Alligator mississippiensis: one gene and its partners. The protein of the gene in region 2 purifies or fractionates together with the protein of the main gene of each other region. This does not show direct contact. Links are inferred from orthologs where the notes say so. Each region holds a gene or a part of one and is shown on either strand. Other genes may lie near its edges.

Region 1 (7,510 bases), on a different chromosome or scaffold from region 2:
CACACCTTGTGCTCCCTCGTGCCCTTCTAAAAACACCAATTTGCACTCTGACCTCTGCAGCTGTCCGAGGAAAGCAAGCTGACGCAGGTGAGGCCACGCACTGCTATGCAGTATGGCCTGAACAAAACCATTCCAGTTCTTCCTCTAGACACAGGTCTGAAATGCCCCAGGTTTGTAGTCCAGCCATGTATACGCCTGACAAACAGGAGTGTTTATTAATGTCTGGTCTCACTATGCAGACACCCAGCACATGAAACCTATCAAGATGTTTATCGTTCAATATGGAAAGTCCCGCTGAACTAACTGGAATTTGGCAGAGCCGCAGGACTAGAGACGGAATTTGTACAGCAAAAATAGTTCCTTCGAAGGCGCCACTGCAAATCAGAACAAGGATCCTGCCCTCCGGCCAGCACTACACCCTCCCAGGTTTGTAAAAAGGTGTTTAAGCAACACCTGCTAAGACGCGAACCAGTAAAGCAGGACTCCCTTCTGTTCCCATTAACCAACCTGAGAATCTAGGGAGCAGGGGGAAGAGCGTGGCTAAAACACCAGCCACGCGACTGAATAGGGACATACCACCTTCCCTGTTCTGCTTTCACCACTGGGGCGCACCTTCTCCAGAGCTACATCTACAGCTTCTACAGCCACAGGGCAAAAGCAAGAGCATTTGAGTGGGAGAGATCTAAGAACATCCTCTTTTGTGACGCCTTTGAAAAATAAAAGACAGACATGATGCAGCTCTAGAAGTTGTTCATTTCTTTTGGCCAGACTTAATGCTAAAGTCTTTGTGCCAACCAGACAGACAGCCATCGCTGCTACTTGGAGCTGTAGCTGAAAGGTCCACAGAAGCACACCTGTCTTTTACTGCTCCCCACCTGTTTGCAAAGGCCCTTGTAAAAGTCACAGACATTAAGTGATATCCCTGCTGCATTGTACACTGCCCATGCTAGAGGATTACCTACAGTCACCCTACTCGTTCTTATGTAAACATCACCCATAGTTTTTGAACTGATGGCTAAGACATAAAACTTCATTAAAAATGTTACGATCTTGCCTACTTCTCACTGACTAAATGAGAAAACTGAAGAGAAAAGGAACTTTTATTTACTTGTATCGCATTTGTCCCATAGCCACTGTCAAACCAATCCGTATCTAGTTGCAACTATGTGGCCTTCAGCCTTGTACTGGATACAACTGGAAAGCAACCAAGTCAGTAAGAAGTATTTTCAAAGGCACCAGTGCTAATTAGGTATCTAATTGCCACTGCGCCTTTGAAACTCGCCCCCACAACGGATAGAGAGAGCTCGCAGCAAGTCGCACACTCTCAGCAGGCCACTTTCCAGAGACGCCCAGGCCGTCTCTCCAGCACTGTGCAAAACACCCCAGGAAGGAGGACAGTGCTGGAAAGCTTGCACCACAGAGCAGCCGCTGCGCTCCCGTGTGCCAGGCCGTGTGTTTTTGACAACTGTTCTCCCTAGTTCTGCCTGGAAATGAGTTGCAAATCTCAACTCCAACAGCTCACAACCTGAGGGTCTCACTAGCTTTACAAACAGAGCCTCGAAACACCATCGCCCGGCACCGGCTTTGTCTGAAACCTCAGCCCTGTCTGCTCCCATCACGTTTCCACAACCCTCGTCGCTCCGGAGACAGCAGCCAGCAAAGTTTTCCCGAAGATCAAACCCAGGTTGCTCTCCCTGTGCTCCGGGGCAGGGAGGCGCTGGTGTGCGGCGTATACTAATGCGCCGCCCTTTGCCATCTCCCTCGGCGCGGAGCCGGTACCTGCACTGACAACCGGTGCAGATTGAGGGTCTCTGAGCACAGGCGTCCGTCTAGTCACAAACTAGCCAGACAAGGAGCGAGTCCCGCTGCGGCGCGGACCCCCAGGATGCCCGGGCAGTGCGGACACCTCTTGCCGAAGAAGGGGATGGAAAAGCCCCACCTGGCGCAGCCTGCTCGCCAGTCACCACTCGGGGGAGCCCCTGGGAACGGCCACTGGCACGTGCGGCCGTGTCAGGCCCTGTCTGTGCGAGGGTCACACCCAGGCGTGCCCCCCCAGGTGTGTCAGACCCTGCCGGTGTGACGGTCACAACCAGGCGTGCCCCCCCAGGTGTGTCATGCCCTGTCTATGCAAGGATCATTCCCAGGCATGCCCCCCCCGGTGTGTCACACCCCGTCTGTGCAAGGACCACTGCCAGATGTGCCCTCCACAGGTGTCACCTGTGTGTGTGCGAGGGTCACCCCAGCTGTGCACCCCCCCCAGGTGTGCCAGACCCTGTCTGTGCAAGGAGCACTGCCAGGCGTGCCCTCCCCAGGTGTCCCAGACCCTGTCTGTGCAAGGACCACTGCCAGGCGTGCCCTCCCCAGGTGTGTCAGACCGTGTCTGTGCAAGGCTCATCCCCAGGCGTGCCCTCCCCAGGTGTGCCAGACCCTGTCTGTGCAAGGACCACTGCCAGGAGTGCCCTCCCCAGGTGTGTCAGACCGTGTCTGTGCAAGGCTCATCCCCAGGCGTGCCCTCCCCAGGTGTGCCAGACCCTGTCTGTGCAAGGAGCACTACCAGGCGTGCCCTCCCCAGGTGTGTCAGACCGTGTCTGTGCAAGGAGCACTGCCAGGCGTGCCCTCCCCAGGTGTGTCACCCCTGTGCGTGCGAGGGTCACCCCAGCTGTCCACCCCCTCCCAGGTGTGTCATATCTTGTCTGTGCAAGGATCACCGCCAGGCGTGCCCCCCCCGTGTGTCAGGCCCTGTGTGTGCGAGGCTCCCCCCCGGCCGGCCTCCCCCTCGGGCCCGGGGGTCCCGGCCTGTCAAGCCAGCCCAGCCAGGGGCGGAGCCGGCCCCCACCCCCCCGCACAGGGAAACTGAAGCCGAGCCGGGCCGGGCCGGGCCGGGCCGGGCCGGGCGGGGCGGGGCGGCGGTACTCACCGGGCCGCCTTGGGGCCGCCCCGCCCGGGCCCCGCTCCATGGAGCCGCCGCGGCCGGGAGCTTCCGGCCTGCGCCTCGCCGCGCCCACGTGACCCGCCGACCAGCGAGACGGGGAGGGCGGGACGGACGGGCCGGCAGCGCAGCCCGTCCCCGCGCGCCGCACCATAGAGACGGCACGGGGCGGTCCGCCAGCGGCGCCTGCCCCCGCCCCGCCCCGCCCCGCCCCCCGCTCGGGCCGCCAGGGCCTCGACCCCGCCCCCCACCCTGAGCAAAGTGTGCGCATGCGTGTGTGCACCCACGTGTGCGTGCATATCTTGCACGTGTGCGCGCGTGGATCTGCGTGCACGGGTGCAAGCATGCGCGCACACGCACGTATGTGCATGCGTGTACGTGGACAAGTGTGCTTGCATGTATGTGGACGTGCGTGTGCACAAATGTGCGCACGTGTACGCAGACAAGTGTGTGCAGTGGGTGAACCATGAGACAGACTCCCACAGGGGGGGAAAGCAGCTGGGAGAGGCCGGGACCTCGGGGCCAGCACTCCCTCCTGCCCGATGGTCCCGCCGTGCCCAGCTGCCCCCTCCAGCCCCGCGCCCCGGGGCAGCTGTCGGGGCTGCCTGGCCAGGCCTGGCCTGACTGGTGCTGCCCCAGGCGAGAGCCTGCAGCTCGTAACAGCAGGACGGAGGAAGCCGCGAGCGCCGGCAGACCCCGCTGTGGCACAGGGGCTACAAAGGAGGCAAGAGCACCCGGACGCCCCCTCGGCCAAGGGCCGACCCGCGTCCCTGCTCTCGCCCGAGATGGAAGAGGGAGGTTGGCCTCATGCCCTGCCAGCCCTTTGCATGCGGGGTGGATGTCACCCCTAGTGAGCAGAGGCCCTGCTCGTGCTTGAATACACATTTCATAGGCATTCGGGCTGGAAGGGACCTGGTAAGATCATCGGGTCCAGCCCCCTGCCCCAGGGGCAGGAAGTCAGCTGGGGTCACAGGATCCTAGCATGACAGACATCCAGATGTTTCTTGAAAGTGTCCAGAGTAGATGCCTGCGCTTCTGGAGGGAGTCTGTTCCAAGCCTTTGAGACTTGGACAGTAAAGAAGTTTTTCTTTATGTCCAGCCTGAAACGGTCTTGGAGGAGTTTGTGACCGTTGGACTTTGTCATCCCTTGGGGTGCTCTAGCAAACAGGCGTTCCCCCAGATCCCGATGCACACCCCTCACGTACCTATAGGCAGCCACCAAGTCATTCCTGAGCCTGCGCTTCTCCAGGCTGAAGAGTCCCATGGCTCACAGCCTCTCCTTGTAAGGCCTGTTCTCCTGCCCTTTGATTGTGCGCGTGGCTCTCCTCTGCACCCTCTCAAGCTTCTCCATGTCCTTCCTGAGCTGTGGAGCCCAGCACTGGATGTAGTACTCCAGCTGCGACCTCGCCAGGGCCAAGTAAAGCAGGAGGACAACTTTCTGGGTCTTGCTTGAGAAGCATCTATGGATGCAAGCCCGAGTTTTGTTTGCTTTGCCGGCCACAGTATTGCATTGGTGGCTCATGTTCATCTTGTGGTCAGTCAAGACCCCCAATTCTCTTTCGGTCGTGGTGCTAACGTGTGCAGCACGGCTGAGCCTGTAAGCGTGATGTGGGTTCCCCCACCCACCCCCTGAGGTGGAGCACCTTGCATTTCTCCATATCGAATGCCATCAGATGATTCCTGGGTTCCTTGCCTCAACCACGCATGAAGACAAGAGTTAGCCTGGAGGCAAGTAGAAGGCCGGGTAGATTTGCACCTGACAGACTAACCAAAGGAAAGCTATATTTCTACTTGTATGGATATAAATATACATATACATGTCTAGATAAGATCTATTTATATCTATCCAAGTAACCTATCCACGTGTAGCTATCCATCCAAATGCACTGTATACTTTTGCTATCCAAGTATACTATATATGTGTGTGTGTGAATACACACACAGAGTTATATCTGTACAAGTAGATCTATATTGATATCGATCCAAGTAGATATATCTATTTATTTTGTTTAACTTGTGAGGTGCAAACCTACCCTGCCTTCCAGCATCCATACAGACAGGGGCTGGCCCAGATGCCTGCCCTGTGAAGACCATGTGTACCTCTGTAGAAGAGCGCTTTAAACAATATTGTGTGCCACAGAGCAGCAGGGTATGAGCGCTCCAGCACCCAGTTGAGGATGGTCACTTCACATGACAAAAAAGAAAAGAACAGAAAAGGTCTTGTTCCTTTTTTTAATTAGTTTTCACAAGGCAAATCCACCAGTGAAACCACGCAGCTCCATCCTGCCTCTGATTAAACACAGAAGTGGTCTTAAGCAATAGAAAGCAGAGAAGCTGCTTTTACTCCACTTTGGACTCCTTCTGGTATGAATATCAGGTGTAAAGCAGCGCAGAATCATATTTCTGGGATCTAAAATAATGACAGAAGGATCAAGGTCCTCGATCAGTGCCAGCTCCAACCACAGCAGACATCTCGTTGGCAGGTTTTCTGCTTGGGATCACTTTGTGTCCCAGACCTTGCATGTGCGGTAAGCAGATAAAAGTCAACACAGCTGCTTAAATCAACACACTCCACAACCCCCTAGTCCAAAGTCAGAAACGGCTTTCTATAAATACAGCCAGCTGCAGCAGCGCTTTTGGAAGGAAACGCATGCAGATCATCAGCATGTCAAAGCAAAAAGCTGAATCACACAGCAAAGAGCTTCTAATCAGGATTTAATACCAGGCACAACCCACCAGCAAGCACCGCTTTAAAAGGGTTCCCCATGTAGACACCAGCTTTGAATGCAATGAAGATGCATCTGGGGAGAAGAAGGGGAAATAGATCTACACAATTCTTGAATATAGGATTATTATTTGGAGGATGTTTTGTATCCCTACACCACCTATGAGCCCCAATCAGAGAACTGTATCCCGTCAGACAAGTCACTTGCATCTGCTTTAGGTACAAGACCAAAGAGTGATGCAGAAACCAAACACATAAGGTTGTGACGCACGTGGTGTAAGGAGCAAGTCCCTGTCTAGACACAATGCAGCAAGCACAGGTAGGATACTTCTGATGGAGCTAAGGGCAGCCGCAAATCTGGTAGGTGGATCACACAGCAATCAGCTGGAAAATGATTAAAATTCCAGTGCAAAAAAACAAGGTTTTGGCAAATGGAAATTAGAAGCCAGTACCTGGGCTGGACTTATTCCAAATACAAGGAGCAGGGAGCAGATAAATAACAAAACTGAATTTTAAACTGCAAAATGATTATAGGAGGAAGCCTAATCTGAATGCAACATTGCCATGGACAGTTGATGCAGCGAAAGACAGGTTGGAGGCTGAGCAGTCAAACCCCCTCTGTGCTAAAACCTCTTCAGATGAGGGGAAGAAAGCGAAGGTTGAGAACTCTTTCCCAGCGCTCCTGCGAAGGTTGGCTGATTTACTGACTTTTAGCCTTAAAGCTCCAGAGCTGAGCGATGGGACCTGCAGGTCCAAGTCCACCCTTCAGTGGTAAGACCCACCCTTGAAAAGACCACCCCTTTCCCTAAGCGCTTGTCTCCACCCCGACTGGCAGCTAGCGCCAAGCTGTGCGGTGAAGTTAGAGGATTTAAAAACATTCATCCCACTTTGCAGCAGGGGCAGGAAATATCGTTGTGTCCGCTGCCATCTACAGAACCAGCTCCTTGGGAACTGAACTTTTCTTCTGCTGGGATCTGCCATCTTAGTAAACAGATTTTTTTCTTAAAAGAGGAACTTCAAGAAGCTGGAAAAACCCTATTCCCCCCCCCGCCTGTAAATCATGTGATGTGGAAATTGTACCTGTACACCATATGGAGGGGTCGGTGCAGCTCCCTGCATCCGGGGATGAGCAACTAATTGTGCCCAAAGCAGTCGTTGTCTCCTGCGGGAGTTTCGCACATTCGTTTCTTCTCACCCAGATTCCATCGGAAATGTCTCTGGTAGAAGCTGAGCTGAACTGGGATCTCTCCTGAAAATCCCTTTGGTCAATTAAGTATTAATGAGCAGCATGAGTGTGTTTATGAATTAGGGAGGGCTAAATGCTGGCTATCACAGCCAGAGGCGCCCTGGAGGGGAACAGATGGAGCATACTGCACAAGGCGTCCCCAGAACAAGTCTGTCCGAGTCCGGGACGGTTCCTGCTGGGGTCCCCAAGGGAGCGTCAGCTGGAAGAGCGGATCTGCCACCTCCCAGCCAGTGCAGAATATGGCACCTGCCCGCTGTGGAGGGGGCAGGGGGGACTGAGGCATGGTTCTCCCTTGCCCCCGCACCCTTTGGGGTAGCCAGTGTGCCGGGGGCAGTGCTGGCGCCATGCAGGGTCTGTCCTCCCCTGCGGGACTGCTCTCGCTCCTGCCCTGGGGGGCAGCCTGTGTCCCCTGCCTGTGCCCCCACTCAGAGGGGCATGCTCTGGCTGTTTGTCTGGCACAGTTAATCAGTGAAATGGAGGAAGCAATGGGTCTCCAGCAATGCACGTTTTGCTCGAGTACTTCAGGCCCCATTCCTGCCTTGAGACCTGCCCCCACCCCAGGCTTCATCCCCGCTCGTGCCCCAGGCTCCATGGGAAGGGTGCGCAGGCA
Region 2 (6,857 bases):
ATCATGGACTAAATATAGACATTGGATTTATGACACATTATAACCTGTCTAACATCTCCCCAGGTAACCTCTCTACCACCTTACCAGCTATATTCAACCCACTTCCCTCCCCCCCCCCCCCCCCCCCCCCCCCCGCCCTTGACTGCCTCAATTTACATTTTCACTGACTGGCTTTCTCACTTGCATGCTGGCTTCTGGCTTTTTTTACTGTTCCATCCAGGAAGAGCACAGACCAACTGCAGATGTTTCCTCAGCCTGATGAATGGTATTTCTACCTAAAAGCGTGCAAAAAAGATTTTTTCCAACTATTTGGGTTGGTCTAATAAAATATATTGATTTACCCAAAGAACCTTGTTTGCCTGTGCCTTCCAGTGAGGAACTCATAGAAAGAATCATAGAAAATTAGGGCTGGAAGGGATCTCAGGAGGTTATCTACTGCAGTGGTTCTCAATCTTTTTTGTACCAGGACCCATTTGTAAACACTGGCCAGTCCCAACTCAGTACCCCTCACTCCCAATCCACTGCCCCCTGGCTCCATGCCCCAGCCCCCCAGTGTGTGGGGCAGAGGGTGCCCCAAGCAGTCCCTCTCAGGCTGGCAGAAGCAAGGGAAAACCCATGGTTTCCCACATTTTTCTCCTTTTAAAGGAGAATCATTTTTTAAAGTTTGCTTGTGACCCGTCCATATATTCTTCCAACCCACTTTTGGGTTGCAACCTACAGGTTGAGAAATGCTGATCTAGTGAGTACAACCCCCTGCTCAAAGCAGGGCCATCACCAACTATCTCATCTGAGCCAAGGCTTTGTTGAGCCAGGCCTTAAACCCTTGAAGGATGGACTACATGGTCTCCTGAGGTCCCTTCCAACCCTAATTTTCTATGATCTAACTGGTTGCTTTTCATCCAAACCACCTCTGGGTAACCTGTTCCAGTGAGAGAGCTTTTCCTAATATCTCACCTCCATTTCTCTTGCTGCCACTTGATACCATTGCTCCTTATCCTGTCATCTGCCCCACCCCTGAGACAAGTCCAGTTCCATCCTTTTGGGAGCCCCCCCTCAAGGAGTGAAAAGCTGCTGCCAACTCCCCCCCCCTTCTTGGCTAGGGACAAAAGTTGCACATCAGCCAGTTTAAATGATCAGAAACTGGTTTAAACCTGTAACAGAACAGAAGTTCAGTGCACATAAACCAGTTTCAAAATGGCTGAAACTGATCTAAGATAAACCTGATTGAATGTAGTATCAGACTTTAACTGATTGAGGTCAAATTGGTTTACGGAGCTTCTGTCCCAGACCCTTTCCTGGTTTAAGCTAAACCAGAGTCCCCCAGCATGCTCTGCAGCCCTGGGCTGGGCTGTGTTGTCTGCTCCAGAAAGCAGGGTGCCCTGTCACTGCTCTCTAGCTGGAGCAGGGGCAGGGCTGTGGCCAGAGGCCTGCCCAGCATGGAGTGAAGGAGACAGGGAGAGGGTTTATTTCTCCCCTCCCTCCCCTCTCCCACTGGGGGACCCTCTGCCAGCCCTGGCAACTGTCTGCTGGTTGCCCTTGACCAGGCAGACCCTGGAGGGAGGGGGAATGGCAGGTGTAATAAATTCCCTTCCTGCTGCCTTTGCCTCGGGGGGCCACCATGCTCAGCTGGCATCTAGTTAGTGGCCAGGGTCTGGCCATGTTCCCCAGCCCCCCAAAAGCCTGGCAAAGGCTGCTTCCAGCCTCCAGGTACATCCCAGCTCGGGTCCCTGCAGGTCAGCCTGGTGGTTTAAACCCCTCTCCAAACATACTCAGGCCACCCCCTCATCTCGGCACCATGAAAGGGAAGGGAGGGCTTGCTCTAGCCCCCCCACCCCACCAGGCTTCTAGCCTGAGCCACTGCAGGCCTGTGCCTGCATGTCTGGGATCAAAAGTGAACGTCTATCTACTTGCTTGGCGGATCAAGCTCTGCAGGCTAGACTAACCTGCAAAGACTGAATCCATTCAGGCTCGGGCTTCTTGGATGGCTGTCCCCAGCTCCAGACTCAATCAGCCCAGTTCCCTCTGCCTCTCCTCACCCCCGTGCCCCAACCCCAGCCCCCTCCCCCCCTCCTTTGCCCAGGGGGCAGCGGCGGCGGCGGCGGCAGCAGCAGGGCACCCCCCCTCCCCTCAGGCGGCGGGGCCCCGTGGGGTGGCGCCAGGCCCGGGCGGGGAGGTCCTCGCGGCCAGGCAGGGGCAGCGGGGCGCACTTCGCAGCCGGGACCGAGGGGAGGGCGCTGGGCGACGTGGAGGCGCCGCTTTCGCTTTTGCTTGCAGCGATCGGGAAGTCCGCCCCGCCAAGGCCAAGGCCAAGGCGGACCCGCGCGGGCACACGGGGCAGCCTGCTCTCCCGCGCCGCGCGGGCCGGGGGCGTCTTACCCTCGTGTCCCCGCTCCAGCGCCGGGAGAGCCAAGCCCAGCCGAGGCGAGGCCTGCGGTGCCCCCGCCGCCAGTCTCCGCCAGTCGGGCCGCGGGGAGGAGCCGCCCAGGAACAGGGCCGGGCTCGCCCCGCGGGGAAGTCCGGCTGCCGGCAGGCGGGAGGAGGAGGAGGGCTCCGGGCGGCACCCCGGGGGGCCCTGGCACCCCTGCAGGGGTGTCGCGCAGAGGCCGCGCTGCTGGCTTTGCAGCCGCCGTGCACAGATAGACCCAGGGCTTTCAAACGGGAATCTGTAGTGTCAACAGCAATCTCACCCCTTCTGGGCTGCCTTGCAGAAGACTTGTTTATCTGTAGTTAAAAAACACACACGCGTGTGAAAGCTAGGAGCTAGCATTTTTTCCAGGGGCACCTTGAGTCTAAGACAGGTTGAGAGCCACCACCTTGGAGATTAACAGACTCTAAGGTGCTGGCCCCTGTCCTACCTTTTGGCTGAGATCAAGTGTAGCCTGGAGATCTTCAAAAGGAGACTTGGACGCAGACCTTGCTATGGTTATTTGACCCCAGCTGTCTTTCCTGCCCACAGCAGGATGGCTCCTTCCAGCCCTAAACTTCTGTGAATTGGTGCAATACCTGCCTTCAGACTAACAGGGAAGTGGCCTCTCTGAATCCCACGGGGAGGAGTTATCTCCGGAGCATGTTACTCAGCATGTGAGCAGTGATTCTCTGGCAGGAAGTTGTGGCAGCCCTGAGGCCTTGAGGTCCTTCCAAAGGTGCTGCGCAGTGGGAGCACTGTTGGGTTTGCAGCCACCATTTGCAGATAAAACCCAGGCTTTCAAGCAGGAATCTGTAGTATCAAAAGCATTCCCCCCCTTCTGGGCTGAGTTGCTTGCAACAGAAGAATTGGTCTTACTGTTTTTCTGTAGTTATAAAAACCACAAGTAAAAGCTAGAAGCAGGCATTTTCCTGGAGGCGCCTTGAGTCTAAAAAGGTTGAGCATCACTGTTTTGGAGGTTAACAGACCTTTCCTGCCTGTTGGCTGAGATCAAGTGTAATACCTGCCTTCAGACTAACAGGGAAGTGGCCTCTCTGAATCCCACAGGGAGGAGTTATCTCTACAGCATGTTACTGGACATCTAAAACGGGGTAGGCAAATCCTAGCACAGGTGCCAGAGTGTGGCCCACCAAGGCATTTTGCTTGGCATGCACATCTTGGGGCAGGCAGCAAGAAAGGGGCCAGGGCTGCACTGCCACAATGAGGATTGGGCCCCTTGCGGCACACCCCCCCCCCGCCATCTGCCTCTGGCACACCAACATCTTACAAACTGAGTTTGCTGGTGTTCTTGACAGTCCAATAACATTGCTGACTCGGATCTAGAGCCGTGATTTTCAGGCAGGGAGCCGTGGTGCCCTGGGGGAAACCTTGAGATCCTCTCAAGGGTGCCCTGGGCTGTCAGGTAGGCCTGTGTGATCAATTAAATATCTATAACTTTGTTGTTTTGCCTCTGATTTGGGTGAAACTTGCAGGGGTGGTGGCCCCTGCTGAGGCCACAAAGTCTGCCAAGTTTCAAGAAGATAGGTGCAGGGGTTTGGGAGGAACTACACTTCAAGCTGCTGACAGGCAAAACTCATGACATAGATGACCCACTGTGTGTTAAGGTGCAGTGGGCTGAAAACTGCAGGGGTGGTGGCCCTTGCTGAGGCCACAAAGCCTGCCAGCTGTGTGTGTGTCTCGCTGGGGGAGTCTGTCTTCTGGGGCCCTGCACCTCAAGCTGCTGGCAGGCAAAACTTGTGATGTGGGTGGGTGACACGGTGGGTGTGTGTTAAGGTGTGCCCTTCCTGGCGCTGGGGCCACTGCACAATATGGCAGTGTGCCCCAGTGTGGCCTCCTCCTCCCCTACAGCCTCACGGCCAGTCCACCACTTTGTGACAACAGGTACAGTAACTTAGCTGGCTCAACATCAGTAGCAGCAGCAGCAGCAGCATCAAAGGTACCCAAATGGAACTGTCACAGAGCCTTTCTTTTTATAAAGGAATTGACAGCAACAAGTAAAGATGTTGTGTTGGACATATGATGTTACTCATAGTGTGTGATGGCTTATCTTGTGTTTTTATGTCTATATGTGTATTATGAAAAAAAAAGGAGTACTTAAAAAAAATGTATCTTTGGAAGCTTTAGGGTTGAAAACCCCTTTGTCAGGCTGAGGAAGTACCTGCAGTTGGTCCTGGATGGAAGGAATAGTAAAGAAGCCAGAGGCTGGCCTGGCCCACAATGCAGACAAGAAAGCCAGTCAGTGAAAATGGAAATGGAAGCATCAGGGGGTGGGGGACAGGCTGGGGTGGGGGGTAGTGGGGAAAGGGGGATGCACTGTAATTTGTTCCCTCTCAGGATCAGAGATCATTTGTACATTCAAACAAGCACCTACCTTCATCACCAGAACTGAAGCCAACTTCCTACAGCTCAAAACACAAAACCTGCCAACTATCTCCAGTACCCCCACAAACTGCACACCAGAATCTATCAAAGACAACAAAACCCAACTACTTGTGGGGGCACATTCCTCACCAGAAAAACACTCTGCCTCCAGTCTCTCAGGCCTGATCCTGAGAGGGAACAAATTACAATGCAAACCACTTTTCAGAGCTGGTCCTATGAACTGCACTTCATCAGCCTCCTAGGTAGTAGGTACACAAACTAATGGACTCAATATAGACAGTGGAGTTCTGGCACACTGCAACCTGCCAGACATCTGACACCCCAGGCACCTCTGCACTTTTACGTGTGCTGCTACATCCCCCTTTCCCCGCTACCCCCCACCCTAGCCTGTCCCTCACCCCCTGACGCCTCTATTTCCATTTTCACTGTCTGGCTTTCTTGTCTGCATTGTGGGCCAGGCCAGCCTCTGGCTTTTTTACTATTCCTTCCATCCAGGACCAACTGCAGGTACTTCCTCAGCCTGACAAAGGGGTTTTTCAACCCTAAAGCTGGCATCCCGGGCAGCTAAGCTGAGCTCACCAGGAGCCTCACAACTGCACTGGAACCAGCAAGCGTCAGGTTTGTCAAAGATATGACAGGTCTGGGCATTCCCTAGCCAGGAAATTGTGCATGTGTGGGTTACCTGGAGGTTATAGCACCTCCTACCCGCCTTGCACCAGGGGCTCGTTTGTCCTGGCATTTACAGGGCTGCTGCGCTGCCAGCAGTCCCACCAGGCCTCCCTACCCTGGCAGGGTGCAGTTTTAGTGGTCATGCCCAGGACCTGGGGCCTCCTCCTTCCCCATAGCCCCTATCCCATACCTCCAAGTTCATCCTGGCAGGGGAATGAGCTCAGCAGGGACATGTTCTTCCCCTGCTGGCTGGTGATGCAGTTAGTGTCCCTTCCAGCTGAGAGCGGGGCACTACTCAGCTTTTAAAAAACTCAGAAAAGGAAATTGGTGCAGATGGAGTGAAGAGGGTGGCACTCAGTCCATCTGCAGGTGGAGCTTGGAGAACCCCAGCAGTGGGAGGTTCACCTTTAGGAACACCAGCTGTTCCACCAAAGCAGGATCCAAGCAGGTGCGGTGGGGTGTCACAACATCCCCAGCAATGCTGAACACCCTCTCACTTGGAACACTGGTTGGTGGACAGGACAACCGGGCAACTGTGGCCAGATCCTGCCACATCTGGCTGTGGTTTGCCCAGTAGGCCAAGGGGTCACAGTCCAGTGGCTCCACATCCTCAGCAAGATAGGTAGCCACAGAAGCCTCCACGCTACCTGCCCGAGGCTGGGGCCTGGTGCATTTGGATCCCAGCATTGAAGCCATGCCCATGGTCCACATTGGCAGTGGCTGGCGTGGAGGAGACTGGCTGGTGCTGGTGCTGGCATGGGAAAGTGGGTCCCCCTCTTCCACATCTCCTTGCCTCTGCACTTCAGCTTCCCTGACTTTGTTGACTAGCACCTGCATCCAGTGATCAAGGGTTTTGGGGCTGCCAGTGCACATGCTCCCCTTTACCCTCGGGTTACACATGCCCGCCATCATGTGGACTGTACTGGACCTCAAGGGATCCAGCCGTCTCCTGATGCCCTCCTTCAGCCATCTCACTAGTGCCTGCATGTCTGGTAACAGTGGCCTGCCCCAGCCAGCAACATTGATCCCCTGGAACTTCTCCATTTGGTTCTCCAGTTCCCTCACTAGGGGGATCACCTGGCTAAGGAGGGCATTGCCAGTGCTAAGGGTCTTGGTGGCCTCGAGGAAGGGCTTGAGAACCACCAAGATCTGGGAGATGATACCCCACTCAGCTCTGTTCAGGGGGCCGCTGATCCTAATTTCCCCAAGCAAGGCCATCTCATGGATGGCCTTCTGTTACTCCACCAGCTTTTCCAGCATCAGGTATCTGGAGTTCCACCGAGTCTCCACATCCTGAATGATTTTGTTCTGAGGGATGCTCAGCTCTGCCTGTTTCTCTCACAGCATCTTTCCCCCCTTGATGCTGCAGTGGAAGTAGCTT
Region 3 (7,219 bases), on a different chromosome or scaffold from region 2:
AGCTTCAGTACCACTTTGATGCTAGTGGCCCCCACAAGGAATGATAAGTGCGTTTTCCAACCTGCATAAGCCAATTCAATTTCCCACTACGGTCAAGTTTTAACCGGCTGCCCTATGGCTGTAACTGCCCTCAGATATGCCAAGATGAAAAGCTGAGAAAGAGGCACACACCTACATTGGCGATGTAGAGCTTGTTGTTGAGAATGACTGCCACAATAGCCATGGCTCCTCCAGAGATTTCCCGCTCTACGGCCTTAAGCCTTTCCACAATCTTCTGGTACTGAGAAGGTAGCTGGTGCTGGGGCACCCCCTAGAACCCAGGATTACAGGGAAACTTAAACACACAATCCATTGCCACAGAAATCACAGCTGGATACCAAGCTCTTCAGGGCAGGGAAGGTCTTTGCCACTGCATCTGGTGCAAAGCTAAGGCTTAAAGCACTGACAAGTACTGGCCAGATTTCACTGATCTTGGGAGACAAACATTCTAATTCTCTGCAGAATAGGAACAGTGATGGTACAGAAGCCAATCAAATGGCCATATCCTGATCCCTGCCTCATCCTGAAGGGGCATCAACTGCAGTGAGTTCAGTCTCCATAACCCATCCAGCTCTTTGCTCTCACTACTAAGACTGCTGCAAACAGGTACAAGGAGTGCCAATGGTGATGGTAGGTTATACAAAGTAGAAAGTTTGAGATTAAGACCTGCCCACTTCACACAAGCCACCAAAGGATCACTATGGTAGGTGACACCTCTGTCACAGCTTCCCTGGGGGCAAACCAAGGCTACTGACCTAGAGACAAGAGGCTCCACATCTTAATCAGCAATGTTAAGGGAACTGGGGAAGGGAAACAAAGTGGCACAGCAATGGAGGTATCTTGCTCTGGCTCCAGAGCCGAAAGTTTGAACCTGGCTACAGATTTGTGCTGAGGGCCAGCTTGATTCACCCTAGCCAAGTACAGGTATCTGAGTGTTTGGGGTGCAGATGACTGGAGAGGCTGCTAGGCCACACTATGCCCTGGCAACAGAAATCAATATGCTTTAACCATGCTAGCTGTATGGGCCATTAGCCTCAGGAAGACCTCTGACTTTTTTCTAACTGAATTTTGGGGGCTTGGGGACACATTTTCTCAGTACTATCACATTACCTCTGGCAGCTGGGACTGCAAGCTGGCCTTCTCTGCCAAAGCATCATCAATGGACTCCAGGAAACTTCTTTCTACCACATCAAAAGCCTGAGAACGGATACAAGAAAGTAACACAAGACTGGATAACAGCAGCTGCCTTGCAAACACAGCAACACAACATCTGTTTCCCCTTCATCCTGAAAAAAGAGATCACATTACTCAGCAAACTATAAAAGTGTTTAGATTTATCTCCTTGGGGATCAGCCCACCTCCCCTGGAAATGCAATCGCCCTAGTGCAACTAGATAAGAGTAGCTGAAATACAACCCTGTGCAACTGTGAAGGACAGGAAGTGAAGAAAAAGATATACAAATTCTATTCAGAGGAAACGAGACACATCTGTCACACCTCAAAAGGCAGCTACCGTTACTCCAGGAAGTGAGTTAATAAGTCCATTTCCCCATGTTCCCTCATCATCATCTCAATGTAAACCCCTTCTTCAATTAACATGTCCCTGCATCCAAGAAAGAAAGAATCCAACTTTCTGCAGTGCTGTCAACGCTGCATTACTGGAGCTAGAAGGGCAGATGGGGCTAAACAGGAGAAGAATGAAATGCTACTGCTCCTTGTCCTCAAGGTAGGCACACTCTCAGCTCCTGGCAGGCCTCCCCAACCTTCTCCTCATCCTGCTAAGGATCAGGGCATTCTTCTCCTTGTGGCAAAGAGAGAGTGTTAATGCAGGGGGAGGCACAGTCTCTGCAGCCACAACCCCATTACCTGCAGCAGGACTCGGTACACATCAGCGTCACTGTGATCCGTGTGGAGCTGGCCCAGCAGCAGTTCTGCAGAGAGCCTCTGGCCCACAAAGTTGGTGACTCGGTTGCCATCGTAGCCATTGAAGACCCCATAGAGGTAACAGCTGTTCTCACCCCTGTCAGAGAAGATCGAGGCACGGGGGTTAAAGGTGCATGTGGAGTACAGAGACCCTGCCCCCTCCCCACCCCACCCCTCTGTGGAAACCAGCCAAGCGCCACCACTGGCCTGGGGTGCTGGCGACTCACCGGAACTTCAGCCAGTTGTCTTCCCAGGGGTGCCCCTCAGTGCTCTTGCCATCTGCGCCATAGGACCGGTTGGGAGCAGAGCCCACTCCAGAGAGCTGGCAGAGGGGCAGGTCATCTGTCCAGCTTGTCTGCTGCTCCTGGGAACAGAGCCAGGGAAGGGAATGGGGAATCAGAGGGAAGTATGGAGGATGCTTCAGAGGTCAATTAGTCCAACTCCTTGCCTGAACGATCTAATTCCTCTCCAAACCATCCCAGGCAAATCCACTGTCTAAAGCAAAGCTAGTCAACCCTGCAATAACACCAGACACAGCACTCTGACCTGCCACAGGGAAAGCAGGGGCACCATGGCAGCCAGCATCCTGCTGCTGAAAAGATTGTTAATATATGCTCGAGAGATCCCAGGAAGAGAGCCATGCCTCCTGCTACAAAGGGAGACAAAAACCCGCAGAGTTCCTACCAATCTGACCATGGAGGAAAATGCCTTCCCAACCCCAGATATGGCGATCGGTCTGACCCTGAGCAGAGGGACAAGATCCTCTAGCCAGGAACCTCTGCGTTCAAGCGCCAGCAGTAGTCCTGGCACAGCCTAGTCGCCATCCCCAGCTGTGGCTGCTGCCAATGCCCCACACCTTTGAGAAAGGTGAAAAAACCCTGAAACCCCGGGGGGAAAAAATCTCCCCCCTGGCTCCATGGGGGAACCAGATAATGGGGAACTAGGGCTGGGGGATGCTTGGGACCTGCCACTGCCTGCCCATGCCATCAAGGTCCCAGGCACTGCAGCCACCCTGCCAGTGACCTTGCAGCCCTCCCTGCCACAGGGGCACAAGCCACACCCTAGGGCAGACACCTGCCCTCATGGCATTGCCCCCATGATCCGCCTCCCCGCCAGGACTCCAGGCCAACCTGGGGGCAGCCCCGCCCCTAGCCAGGGGGCGGGGCCACACAAGAACACCGCGGGCCATGCCCCGCCCACAAAAGAACGCCGGGCTCCACCCCCTCGAACTGGCAGCGCGCCTGGCGTAACCTCACGTCACGTACAGCCCCACCCCCAAGCCCGTGCGCTGCGCCCCCCTCTGCCCCGGCCCGGCCCGGCTGCAGACCGCCGGTGGGTGAGGAAGGGGCCCCCGCCCGCCGCGATGGGGGGACAGGGAAGACGTGGGGCGGGGTAGAGTTCCCGCCCCGGCGCTCACACTGTGCAGCAGGCTCCTCCTCTGCGCCGCCATCTTGGAGCGGGAGCCGCGCTGCAGCCTCGCCCGGGCGGCGCCAAGAGCAGCCGCTGCCGGCCGTGCCCTGCCCACCGCGCGCAGCTTCCCCTAGCGGCTGCAGGGGGAGGAGAGGGGCGGGGCGTGGCGCGTAGGGCGCCCGCCCCGCCCTTAACGGGTGGGGCCTGCGCGGGTCGTGGGTGCGGCGGTAGGGTGTGTGCTCGTCCTGCGGTGCGGCGGGGCAGGGGCGCCCCCTGCTGGGTGGAGCTTGTTGCCCAGGAGGGCAGCCACAGTGTGAGCATATGCTGCCCTAACACCCCGTGCCTCCCCACACACTTGCCCCTGCTCCGCTGCTCTCACAGAAGGGACACGAGGGCGTGTGCCCGGCCCCCACTTGCCCCAGCCCCCCACGACTGGCACGTGCGCACCCATCCCACCTGCCCCCAGGCTCCAGGGGGAGGGGGAAGCTTGTAGGCTGGCTTGAGGCAGATGCCTGAGCCTGCAAAGAGCCTGTGACAGGAGCCAGGAGGGGTGGGAGCTGCCCCATGCCCCTCCATGACGGGCCTTGGCCTATGGGTGCTGCCCCTTGGAGCAGATACAGCCCCCGCTGCAAGGAGCGTGGGGGACCTCTTCATGAGGATGGTGTCTGCCTCTGTGGTGGGCGGGGAGGGAGGGAGGGAAACTGCTGGTACTACCCAGGCCTTTGCCTATGCAGAAGGGGGCACCTTGCTACCACCCCTCCAAGTGAGGCAGGAAGGGCCGCGGGGTGGGGTGCACAGTGGGCCCGGCGCACCAAGGCTCTCCTCAGTCAGATCTAAAAGGGAGGGCCTCTTCTATCTAAACTCAAGACGCCAGGCCTCAAACATGTTCATAGCCCCTTTATGGCACAGGAGCACCCATATCCTCACTGCTTGTGATTCCCTGGGCCTTTGTGGTTCCACACTGCCATTCTTTGCAGTCACCAGTATGTGGTGGACTCAGCCCTAAGTCCAGTAATGGAAAGGGGTGACAGTGGCATAACTAGGGCGGGGTGAACAGGTCAATAGCCTCAGGTGCTGACTTGGAGAAGGGCAAAAAAAAGCAGCAGCTCCTGCAGTCACAGTTGTGATCTCAATGGCAACTGCAAGTCACTGCTGCCTCTGTACCCTGGGTGCCCGGCTGCATCTCTACGCTACCGGGGCTGTAGAACAGCCCATAGGTGACTATCTGCCAAAAATGGGAACAGCCCTTGGTGTAGTTCTGATTTACACCAAGGACTGATAGCCATTGAACCAGTTCAGAATTCAGGATTCACAGAGGTGGCACAAAGCCACCTGCATTCAACCCGTTCCCTCTCCTCCTGGGTTGCGCTTGCTGAGAGACGCAGCTTGGAACCTGGACGGTAGATGCTGAATTCAGTGAAGTTACTCGGGATTCTCTTATTCTTGAGAATTTGAGCTGACCCACAGGCAGGGCTGGTTCTATCAAAGGACTCCAACGAGTGAATTTACATTGAGACGTTCCAAGCGTTTGTAAAATGATATAACATAATATAATTAAAAGCAGATCACTGATTCTCATCTCTCTCGAGAATATTTTTGTGGCATCGTAGGCTAGTCTAGCCTATTTCAGGGACAATAGTTTCAGTGTCCCCTGCTCCCATCACTGCCACAAATGGGGAAAGGCTAAATAATTCCACCCCTTATATTAAAAGCTAGCCAAAGAACTCTCCAGCATTGTGACTGGTGTGCCCTGATGTGCATGACGGCTGGCATAAGGGATGCTACAGCACTGGAAGGTTCAGGGCGTGGCGTATTTCCCCATGTAAATTGGGGAACATAAGCAGGATCCAACTAGAAATGTTTCTCACCTGGAACAGCGCATTGCTGGTCAAAGTGGAACCTTTCCAGCAGCTTTGGCCCATTGGGAGTCATTTAGTATTTCTTTAATAACATTTTGTAGGAAAAGTCTTAGGTTCAGAGACGTGAAATTCTGTTTTAAGAATAATAATTAACCTCATTTCTTTGAGGGATCTCTGTGGAATATTGGCCGGATGATTCCAACTCTTTCTCTGTAAATCTCCTGGATGGTGTCTGACTGCAACTCCTCTCAAATATGTGAAGAGTTTAGGCCATTCTCTTTCATCTGGAGTACAAGAAATTTCAGTAATCCAAATGGTAACAGATAGTGTCACAAATTCTGTAGGTCTGTAGCTAGAGGTCCCAGGTCTGAAGGCAGTATACATGTGTATTGGTTGATGTACAAGCTGAGATCCAGTGATGCCATTTAGACTGCTCATATGCATAAAGTTTTGTGTATGTATACACATGGACAGGTTTGAGGCCTAAATTTGTGTGAGCATGTGCACGTACACACAACTGGAAAAAAAACTGGATCTCATAGAAACAAGGCAGCACTTTATCAACAATCTTATTTTTAAATAACATTTCTCTGGAGTTACAAATGTGCTTGTGGGGCTGCCCTTTTCAATGGGGCTTATATTAAAAAAGAAAACCATGGCAGATCTCTTTTTTAAAAAACAGCTGCACTGCAACCATCCTTTTTTTTTTTTACATATTGATGGTAATCTGACAATGTCTAAGGTTGCAAGTCTACAACATGGACAGATTGTTGCTTGCTCCCTGGAAATCTATGAAATCCTATATCGCCATAGAGATCTTTTGGTCTGTATCACATGGCAGGACTGGGATGTAGGGGTAAACTATGCTTTCCAATATACACGTAAAGTTCCTGCTGAGGTTAATAGGAGTTGTGTGGTAAGTTGTACTCAGGCATGTGAGAAGATCACTGCCGCTATGGCAAAACCCCTGCTGTGGATGCAGCCCAGTCAGCAATGCCATTAAAGCAACAAAAGCCCCCATAAATGTACATAATCTCAGTGATGCAGGGAATCATTTCCAGTCCTCTGTGCTTTGTTTCTCCAGTGTTGATACTGATTTAACATCAGTTCGTTTTAACTAAAGCACAATGTGTTTCACTAGAGCCTGTCTTCCAGAAAAACACTCATCCATGATATGAAAACATCAGAGCTGAGACATCCATCACCTCCCATTGCAGTTTCTTCCAGTGATCAATCACCTCCACTGCCACACAAAATTGTTCCTCCTTTTTGTTATACTGTTACTTGCTAGACAGACAAGCCTCTTGGCTCCCTATGTTTTCTCCTTGGGATGCTATGCCTTTTTCCCCTTTCATAACTCTTTTAGTAACAAAACTCAGGATACTTTTCATCCCCCTTGCTTTATACAGACCTTAAAATTGTGACTGGTATATAACCAGTGTCTGCTGTTTGCTGGGTGAATCTTCATTCTTGTTGCATTTTCTGTATGTACATGGTAGTAATCAGTAACATGCCTTATGGCCCAAATGGCCTGGCTCACTCTGGTGTCAACATATACTTCAGGAGTACCCATAACTTTCCCTTTAGATGGACGTGTGTTCCTCTGACATTATGCAAGGCTTATTTCTTGAAAGCCACTCCCTGGATCCATTAATGAATGTTAATGGAGCACTCCCCAGTTACCAACTCATTAGTGGCCCTTGTCCCTTCTTCTTGCCATCTTTCTTTGCTGGAGTCCAGCTGCCCGGCAGGAGCTGGACTAGACTCTATTTTGTTCTGCTACTGATTCACTGTGCAATTTTGAACAAGTCACTTGACAACTTCCCATCTACAAAGTGGGAACCATAAGAATTATTTACTTTCCCAGGAGCATATGTGGGAATGAATGGAAGCTAGTGCAGCAGTTCAAGATCCTCAGGTGAAATGCACTACCGACACCACACTATTATGCCAAAAATAATGCTTTATATAGACCAACAGCTTTGCACA
Region 4 (7,360 bases), on a different chromosome or scaffold from region 2:
CTAGACAGTCTCTGGTTACAAAGCAGACGTATCTCTGGTAGGAGGGGACCCAAATGGCATAGTTGTCCACAGCAAAACATGGAATTGAACTTTGGTTTCCTGAGTTCTAAGCTACTGCCCTAACCAGGAGAATATCCTTCCTCTCAAAGCACCCCAAGTGTGATGGGTGCAGATGAAAACCTATAGGCTCAATGATTTTTTTTTAATTACTTTAGTAAGCTTTCTTTCTCTCTTTGCATGCCGTTATATGTAAGAAATATTTGAAATCCTTTTGCTTAGTAGTATACAAGTGATACTAAGCCCTCAAAGTTAACATAGTACTAATTAAAAGTTGTGTCAGTCAAAAAAAAAGAAATGAATAACTTAAATTATACCATCGTTTAAGACTTATCTTCACAATGGTGACAGATTTTGATAAGGATTGTGATTTTGCTTTTGCAAACAGAGAGCTTGTTATTATTGTGATACATATTTCTACAGCCATTTCTGAAAGCAAGTGAACCTTACAAACAACTATAATTGGAATTCTCTCCTTTGTGTTCCTTGCTCTCATCAACAAAAAATAAAGGTAGCATGACTGTAGAAGAAAAACAGGGCAAAAATATACTTGGCAGCAACTGGAATTTGCTTGATATGTATTCTCAAAAGAGGCCTTTGAGTCATGAAACAAGCCAAACCTTCCATTAATCTTACTATTATCTCATTTTCTCAATATCCCACAAACCCATGTTCTAGCTTGTGAACAAAATGAATATCACTACTGTATAATGTTCATAGGACATTATATGCAGGAAGACTCACTCCTCAGATTCAGTTAGCCTTAGAAATTAAATATAACGTAAATGGCTTTATGCAGTAAGCCAGAACTGTGGAAGGAAATGTGTTTTTGAAATATGTGTTTTCAAAAACAACAAAAGGTGTCTAGGGAGTAGCCTTACAGTTTCTGGAAAGGAGAAATATTCCAAAATAGACATTTTACTAAACAATAAATTGTGATTAATTGATAAGATTGCTACTGGCTTGGATTAATCAGAGGGAGCAGTGTTTAGGGCTTAAAATAATATAACAGGGTAATCTAAATATGCTTCTTGTAATCAGAATGGGTTGAAAAAGGCAACTATTGGCCCATTTGTTTTGTAGGGGAGGGTTGCATTTGTTTCTATTTTTGGCTAAATTTTCATCTCTTTAAATTATGTTATGAAATGCAGTTGTTATTCCAATGTCATCTGAGTGTCTTGTGCCAATATAGAAGATCAGATAAAAAACAATGGAGACATAGGTCCAAGAAAGTAAAACCATGCCATGGAACAAAGCAACAGATCTAGAGACAGAATTTGAGAACTGATCAACATGTTGGCTCTTCTGAAGAGCTAGCCATCAATCTCATGATGGGAACCAGTAGGTACTGGGCTCCTTTAAAAATCTGGCCTCAAGTATGAGTATCGAACACTTAAAACACTATTCTCTTCTGCTCTCATAGCAATGTGAAGTGGTACAGAGTAGAAAAATTAAACAGCTGTGTCAACAATCTGTACAACACTGATAAAAATTGCTATGGAAAGGAATATATATTTTTAGTGTATTTAAAAGCCTTTTGATATATTTTAAAAGAATCTGGAAATAGGTATACAGGCAGCCCTCCCTCGACTTACAATGTTTCAAGTTACAATGTTTCACACTTACAACATTTATAAATTGACACTGTTTCAACTTTCTGATGCCAGTTTTGACTTTACAACGCTTGACCTGATGTGACGCCATGACAGTGAACAAGTCGCTGTGTCACCCATCTCCCTGGAGAACATCTGTCCAAACTTCCTTGGACGCTTTCTTTAAGAAAGCAGACAAGGCTCCAGAAAAACCTGCAGGCAAGACTCCTGAAAAGACTCCAGCCAAGAACCCTTCAAAAAGTCCAACAAAGTCACCTCAGAGAAGTCCTTCCAAATCAATATGTTGCTATTTACAATATAAATACATTAATGTAGCTGTGCTACTCATCTATAATTGATCGAATACAAAATTCTGGGTTATTTTTGGTGAAAATAAGGTACCAGGCCTTGGTTCAGGAACCAATCCCCTATTTATAACATTGTTTCTTATGAGAAAATTGGTTCTGAGTTACGTTTCGACTTAAGACGCCGTTTTCAGGAACCAATTATGTTGTAAGTCTGAGAACTACCTGTATATTGAACTTGTTATGATTTTCATAAGAACGAGATTTTGTTAATAGTTGTTATCCAAAAAGAGTGGTCCATGCTTTGAGTACCTCACAATCTAAAGCCCTTTCCAAGCTAACATGGACTAATGGTTAAGACCACACTCCTGAACACCATACAGTGGTAATCACCTAAACACAACCCTCTTTTGTTATATGGACTGCAAGTGATTAATTCCAGCTGCTTTTTACAAACTCTAGAGTTGATATTAGGGGCTAGTGCAGCCAAGAAAGGGTAGATGTGGGATCACCAGCTTTTACTTTGTCTCTCCCACCCCAGAGAAAAGAAAAAAAAGCCGGTAGAGGGCCTGATATACCACTGTGTTACTCTAGGTTTATGCTGGTAAAAATCCATTGATTTCACTGGCGTTAATCTAGAATAATATGGCAGTGGTAGTTTCCTTTAAAATGTAATAATAGAATCTTCTAATGAAATCAGAAAATAAGTAATGCAATCAGCACATTAGCCCTTGTGTTAGTTATTTTGATATTGAATTCCCCACGCAGCATTTTGGGATGGGATAACATATTTGTTGTTTGATCAATAGTGACATTTAAACTGTCATCTTCAATTTCAGAGCTAACACCCCATTAGTGTGAGTGAGAACAGCCAACTTTCCCGAACTAATCTTTTAGGCTATTTGCCGACCCAGCAGAGTGATATTATCTGTAACACGTGGTTCACATTTCAAGGTTTCTTTATAATCATATGACCATTAAAGTTAAAAATATTAGAAGACAGGCAGATACTAGGACATAAGGAAGAAAATATGACTTAAAGAAAGCAATCCCTTATTGCCAGCAGATTTAAGAAGGGGGAAGAGTATGGTCACACACATCTGAGTATGCTACCTTTATATCCATAGGTAGATATATCTATCTAAGATTTAAGGAGGGAGGGGTTGAGTGTATGTATGTAGACACACATAGGAATGCACTTCCTTACATCTCTAGCTAGGGAGTTATTTCTATCTATAGATTTAACAGAGGTATGTTTATATAGACACACATACATGTACATTTCCTTACATCTATAGATAGATATTTCTATCTATAGATGTGTGTGTGCGTGTGCCTGTGTGTGCAGACATGCACATTCGAGTATATTTCCCTACATCTATAGATACATATTTCTATCAACAGATCTATAAAGGCTGTGTGTATCTGTCTGGACACGCATCTGAGTATACTTCCTTACATCTATAGATACAGCGAGAGATATTTCTAGCTACAGATCTAAGGGCTGTGTGTGTGTCTGTCTGGATGCACATCTGGGTACACTTCCTTACGTCTACAGATAGATAGATATTTCCTTCTATGTATCTAAGGGGGGGGTATTTAAGGGCGTATGTATCTAAGGGTATGTGTATGTGTTTCTATCTATAGATCAAAGGAGGGGGCGGGGGGGGGGAGGGGGGCATGTAGACACATCCCAGTACACTTACTTATATCTCAGGCTAGAGAGATACTTCTATCTATATATTTAAGGGGGGGTGCAGACATGCACAGCCAGGTATACTTCCTTACATCTACAGATAGATATTTCTATCTACAGACCTCTCAGGGTGTGTGCTTCTACCTATAGATCTAAGGGGGTGTGTGTGTGTGTTTACTTCTAGCTATAGAGCTAAGGCGGGGGGGGGGGGTTAAACACCTCCCAGTACACTTCCTTCCATCTCAGGCTAGAGAGATACTTCCTATCTATAGATTTAAGGGGGGGGGGGGGTGCAGAGACGCACATCCCAGTGCACTTCCTTACATCTACAAATAGATTTACAGATAGAAGAGTGTGTGTGTGTGTGTGTGTGCAAACACACACATCCCGATACACTTCCTTCCATCTCAGGCTATAGAGCCACGTCTATCTGTAGCCGTCGGGAGAAGGCGCGGGGAGCCGCGCACATCTGAGGGCGCTCCCTAACCTCTGCAGACAGCTGTGTCTCTCCGTAGGGCTCAAGGGGGTACGAGTGGGGGAGGGGGAGCCTAGAGCCGGCCTTGCTGTGGCGGGACCTTCCTCCCGCCTCCCTGCGGACCAGGGCCAGCGCGGGGCGGGCGGGGCATCCTCGGCGCCTGCCTCAGCTCGGGCGGCGGCGGCTCCCCCTGGCGGCCCGGCCCCGGCAGGAGGAGGAGGAGGAGGTACCAGGCGCTGCGCGGGGCTCCCGGGCCGAGCGCGGGGGAGGAGGAGGCGGCGCCGCCAGGCCATGGCCCCGCTCCGGCGGCCTTAGCGGCAGCTGCCGAGTGCCCCCCTCCCGGCTCTGAGCGGCGCCTTCCCGCCTCAGCCCCGCCGGGGCTGGCGGAGGCGGCGAGCCCCGGCCCCGCCACTCGCTCCGCCGGGGCCTCGCAGGCAACGCGAGCCGCAGGCCCCGGGCGCGGCCTAGGCCGGCGGAGCGCAGCGGGCGCCCGCCAGCGCCTCGGATGCGGCCGCCTCCGCCAGCCCCGGCCCGGCCCCGCTGAGCCCGCGCCGCCCCGGCCCGGCCCGGCCCCGGCATGTCTGCGGCCGCCTCGGCGGACATGATCGAGACCCCCCCGGTGCTCAACTTCGAGGAGATCGACTACAAGGAGATGACCGTGGAGGAGGTGCGGGCCGGGCCGGGTGCGGGGCCCGCGGGGAAGGGGCGGCCTCCAGCTTTCGCCCCTCTGGGCGAGAGGGAGCGGGTTGGGGAGAGCCTGAGGGCCGGAGCAGGCAGGTGGCAAGGTGTGCGGCCTAAATGCCCTGGTGGGGGGCTGGGGGAGAAGTGGAGTAAAGGAGGAGGACACCCCAAGTGAGACAGGCCTGTGCCAGGCCCCTGGACAGCCCTCCCGTTCCCGGGGATAGGGTGGACTTCATTAGATTCCCACAAGTTCCCCAAAAAGAGCAATTCTCAACCAGGGAGACCAATGGGCAATGCACTGAGCCCTGGCTTTCAGCCTCTTTTCACTTGTGGACCCCTAAAAAATTTCGAATGGAGGTGCAGAGCCCCGCAGTTTTAAGTGGGGGTATTCAGACACTTTTGATAGATCGTAGTGCTCATTCACCAACCTGTTAGACATAAGTCTGTAGACCGCCAGTTGTCCATGGACCACAGGTTGAAAACCGCTGTCCTATCTGTGTGTGAGAGATATGTGAGTATATGCTATATGGAGTATACAGGTTTCCTTCGCTTTATGGAGGTTCTGTATGTGTGAATTCGCTCTTACACGATGACCCTTTTTATACCAAAAATTCATTATATGCAAGGTAAATTCACTCTTATGCAATTGGTGTGGTGGAAGTCTGCAGTCAGCTGCTTTGCAGTGCATTGTGGGAGTGACGCACACCAAAATATAGTCTTTTATGTGGATCAGTGCTCTTCGCTCGTTGTCTGCGACAGGTGTCTCTGTAGTTGCCATCCCCGTTATGGTAACATTCACCACCACCCTGTGCTTGTGTGTACTGTCTGCTGTTGGTGAGTACCACAGTTGTCTTGTAAAAGTGGTAGAAATGGGTCTGAGGGTCAGTACAGTCTAGGTCTTGGAACGTATCCCTATCTGTTACATTGTATGCGTAATCAAGTTACGTGCCGTTTTCCAGGAATGCATGTACAGCATAAAGCGAAGGAAACCTGTGGTAGTGTGTACAGCATGCATACACCATACATTATGTGCATTTGGGCTGTAAATACTGATTAAAGAAAATATCCGTTTAACCTGTTGTAATTACAACAGTTACATGATTACTTGGTATGGCAACCCCCAGGCTGCTTGTGGACAGCAGTGGGGTGCGGGGGTTAGGGGGGGACTAGTACCTAGTAGCTAAGCTCCACGGACCTCAGTACACTGGCTTGCAACCTCCTTGCTGCCTGCCGCAAACAGCTCGGGCTCTTAGATAGGCAGCAGGGGCCTGTCCAGAGCCTGGGCTGCTTGTGGCAGACAGTGGGGAGGCTGCAAGCAGCTGCAATTGGGGTCCGCAGAGCGTAGCTGTAGATACTCTGTAGATACTGTATCTGTAGATACTCTGTAGAGCTGTGCGTCTCTCACTGGGGTTGTAGAGAGACAGCAGCAAGGCGCCAGACTTCCATGCGTAGACCCTGAGATGGTGCAGAGTCACTTGGAAGAACTGGATGCCTTTAAGTCGGCAAGCCCGGATGAGCTCCATCCGAGGGTGCTGAAGGCACTGGCCGACATCATTGCAGAGCCACTGGCGGGAATATTCGAACGCTCGTGGCGCACGGGCCAGGTCCCGGAGGACTGGAAAAGGGCCAACGTGGTCCCCATTTTTAAAAAGGGGAGGAAGGAGGACCTGGGCAACTATAGACCAGTCAGTCTCACCTCCATCCTTGGCAAAGTCTTTGAAAAAATTATCAAGGCTCACATTTGTGAGAGCCCGGCAGGAAAAATTATGCTGAGGGGAAACCAGCACGGGTTCATGGCAAGCAGATCGTGCCTGACCAATCTAGTCTCTTTCTATGACCAGGTTACGAGACGCCTGGACACAGGAGGAGGGGTGGATGTCGTATACTTAGACTTCAGGAAGGCCTTCGATACGGTATCCTACCCCATACTGGTGAGCAAGTTAAGAGGCTGTGACGTGGATGACTACACTGTCCGGTGGGTGGCGAATTGGCTAGAGGGTTGCACCCAGAGAGTCGTGGTGGATGGGTCGGTCTCGACCTGGAAGGGTGTGGGCAGTGGGGTCCTGCAGGGCTCTGTCCTTGGACCGATACTCTTTAATGTCTTCATCAGTGACTTGGACGAGGGAGTGAAATGTACTCTGTCCAAGTTTGCAGATGACACAAAGCTATGGGGAGATGTGGACACGCCAGAGGGCAGGGAACAGCTGCAAGCAGACCTGGACAGGTTGAACACGTGGGCAGAAAACAACAGAATGCAGTTCAACAAGGAGAAATGCAAAGTGCTGCACCTAGGGAGGAAAAATGTCCAGCACACCTACAGCCTAGGGAATGACCTGCTGGGTGGCACGGAAGTGGAAAGGGATCTTGGAGTCCTAGTGGACTCCAAGATGAACATGAGTCGGCAGTGTGACGAAGCCATCAAAAAAGCCAATGGCACTTTATCGTGCATCAGCAGATGCATGACGAATAGGTCCAAGGAGGTGATACTTCCCCTCTATCAGGCACTGGTCAGACCGCAGTTGGAGTACTGCGTGCAATTTTGGGCGCCACACTT

The links.
Region 1: the proteins of RIPK1 (region 2) and RNF216 purify together in Homo sapiens (affinity purification with western blotting; 3 studies listed by BioGRID). This does not show direct contact. The link is inferred for Alligator mississippiensis from reciprocal best matches to the Homo sapiens genes RIPK1 and RNF216.
Region 3: the proteins of RIPK1 (region 2) and TAB1 purify together in Homo sapiens (affinity purification with mass spectrometry; 3 studies listed by BioGRID and IntAct, with this or other methods). This does not show direct contact. The link is inferred for Alligator mississippiensis from reciprocal best matches to the Homo sapiens genes RIPK1 and TAB1.
Region 4: the proteins of RIPK1 (region 2) and MAP3K7 purify together in Homo sapiens (affinity purification with western blotting; 5 studies listed by BioGRID, with this or other methods). This does not show direct contact. The link is inferred for Alligator mississippiensis from reciprocal best matches to the Homo sapiens genes RIPK1 and MAP3K7.

What each region holds. Positions count from the first base shown.
Region 1 is NC_081836.1:53,437,150-53,444,659, forward strand, and holds the start of RNF216 (E3 ubiquitin-protein ligase RNF216), read right to left. Parts: upstream 3,009-7,510; 5' UTR 2,958-3,008; coding exon 2,918-2,957; intron 1-2,917.
Region 2 is NC_081826.1:121,050,080-121,056,936, reverse strand, and holds the start of RIPK1 (receptor-interacting serine/threonine-protein kinase 1), read right to left. Parts: upstream 3,011-6,857; 5' UTR 2,856-3,010; intron 2,643-2,855; exon of another isoform or gene 2,377-2,642; intron 2,004-2,376; exon of another isoform or gene 1,944-2,003; intron 1-1,943. UniProt on the Homo sapiens protein: Serine-threonine kinase which is a key regulator of TNF-mediated apoptosis, necroptosis and inflammatory pathways.
Region 3 is NC_081827.1:99,038,700-99,045,918, forward strand, and holds the start of TAB1 (TGF-beta-activated kinase 1 and MAP3K7-binding protein 1), read right to left. Parts: upstream 3,017-7,219; 5' UTR 2,658-3,016; coding exon 2,508-2,657; intron 2,326-2,507; coding exon 2,189-2,325; intron 2,059-2,188; coding exon 1,905-2,058; intron 1,237-1,904; coding exon 1,150-1,236; intron 311-1,149; coding exon 172-310; intron 1-171. UniProt on the Homo sapiens protein: Key adapter protein that plays an essential role in JNK and NF-kappa-B activation and proinflammatory cytokines production in response to stimulation with TLRs and cytokines.
Region 4 is NC_081824.1:77,998,315-78,005,674, reverse strand, and holds the start of MAP3K7 (mitogen-activated protein kinase kinase kinase 7), read left to right. Parts: upstream 1-4,339; 5' UTR 4,340-4,702; coding exon 4,703-4,792; intron 4,793-6,647; coding exon 6,648-6,737; intron 6,738-7,360. UniProt on the Homo sapiens protein: Serine/threonine kinase which acts as an essential component of the MAP kinase signal transduction pathway. Plays an important role in the cascades of cellular responses evoked by changes in the environment.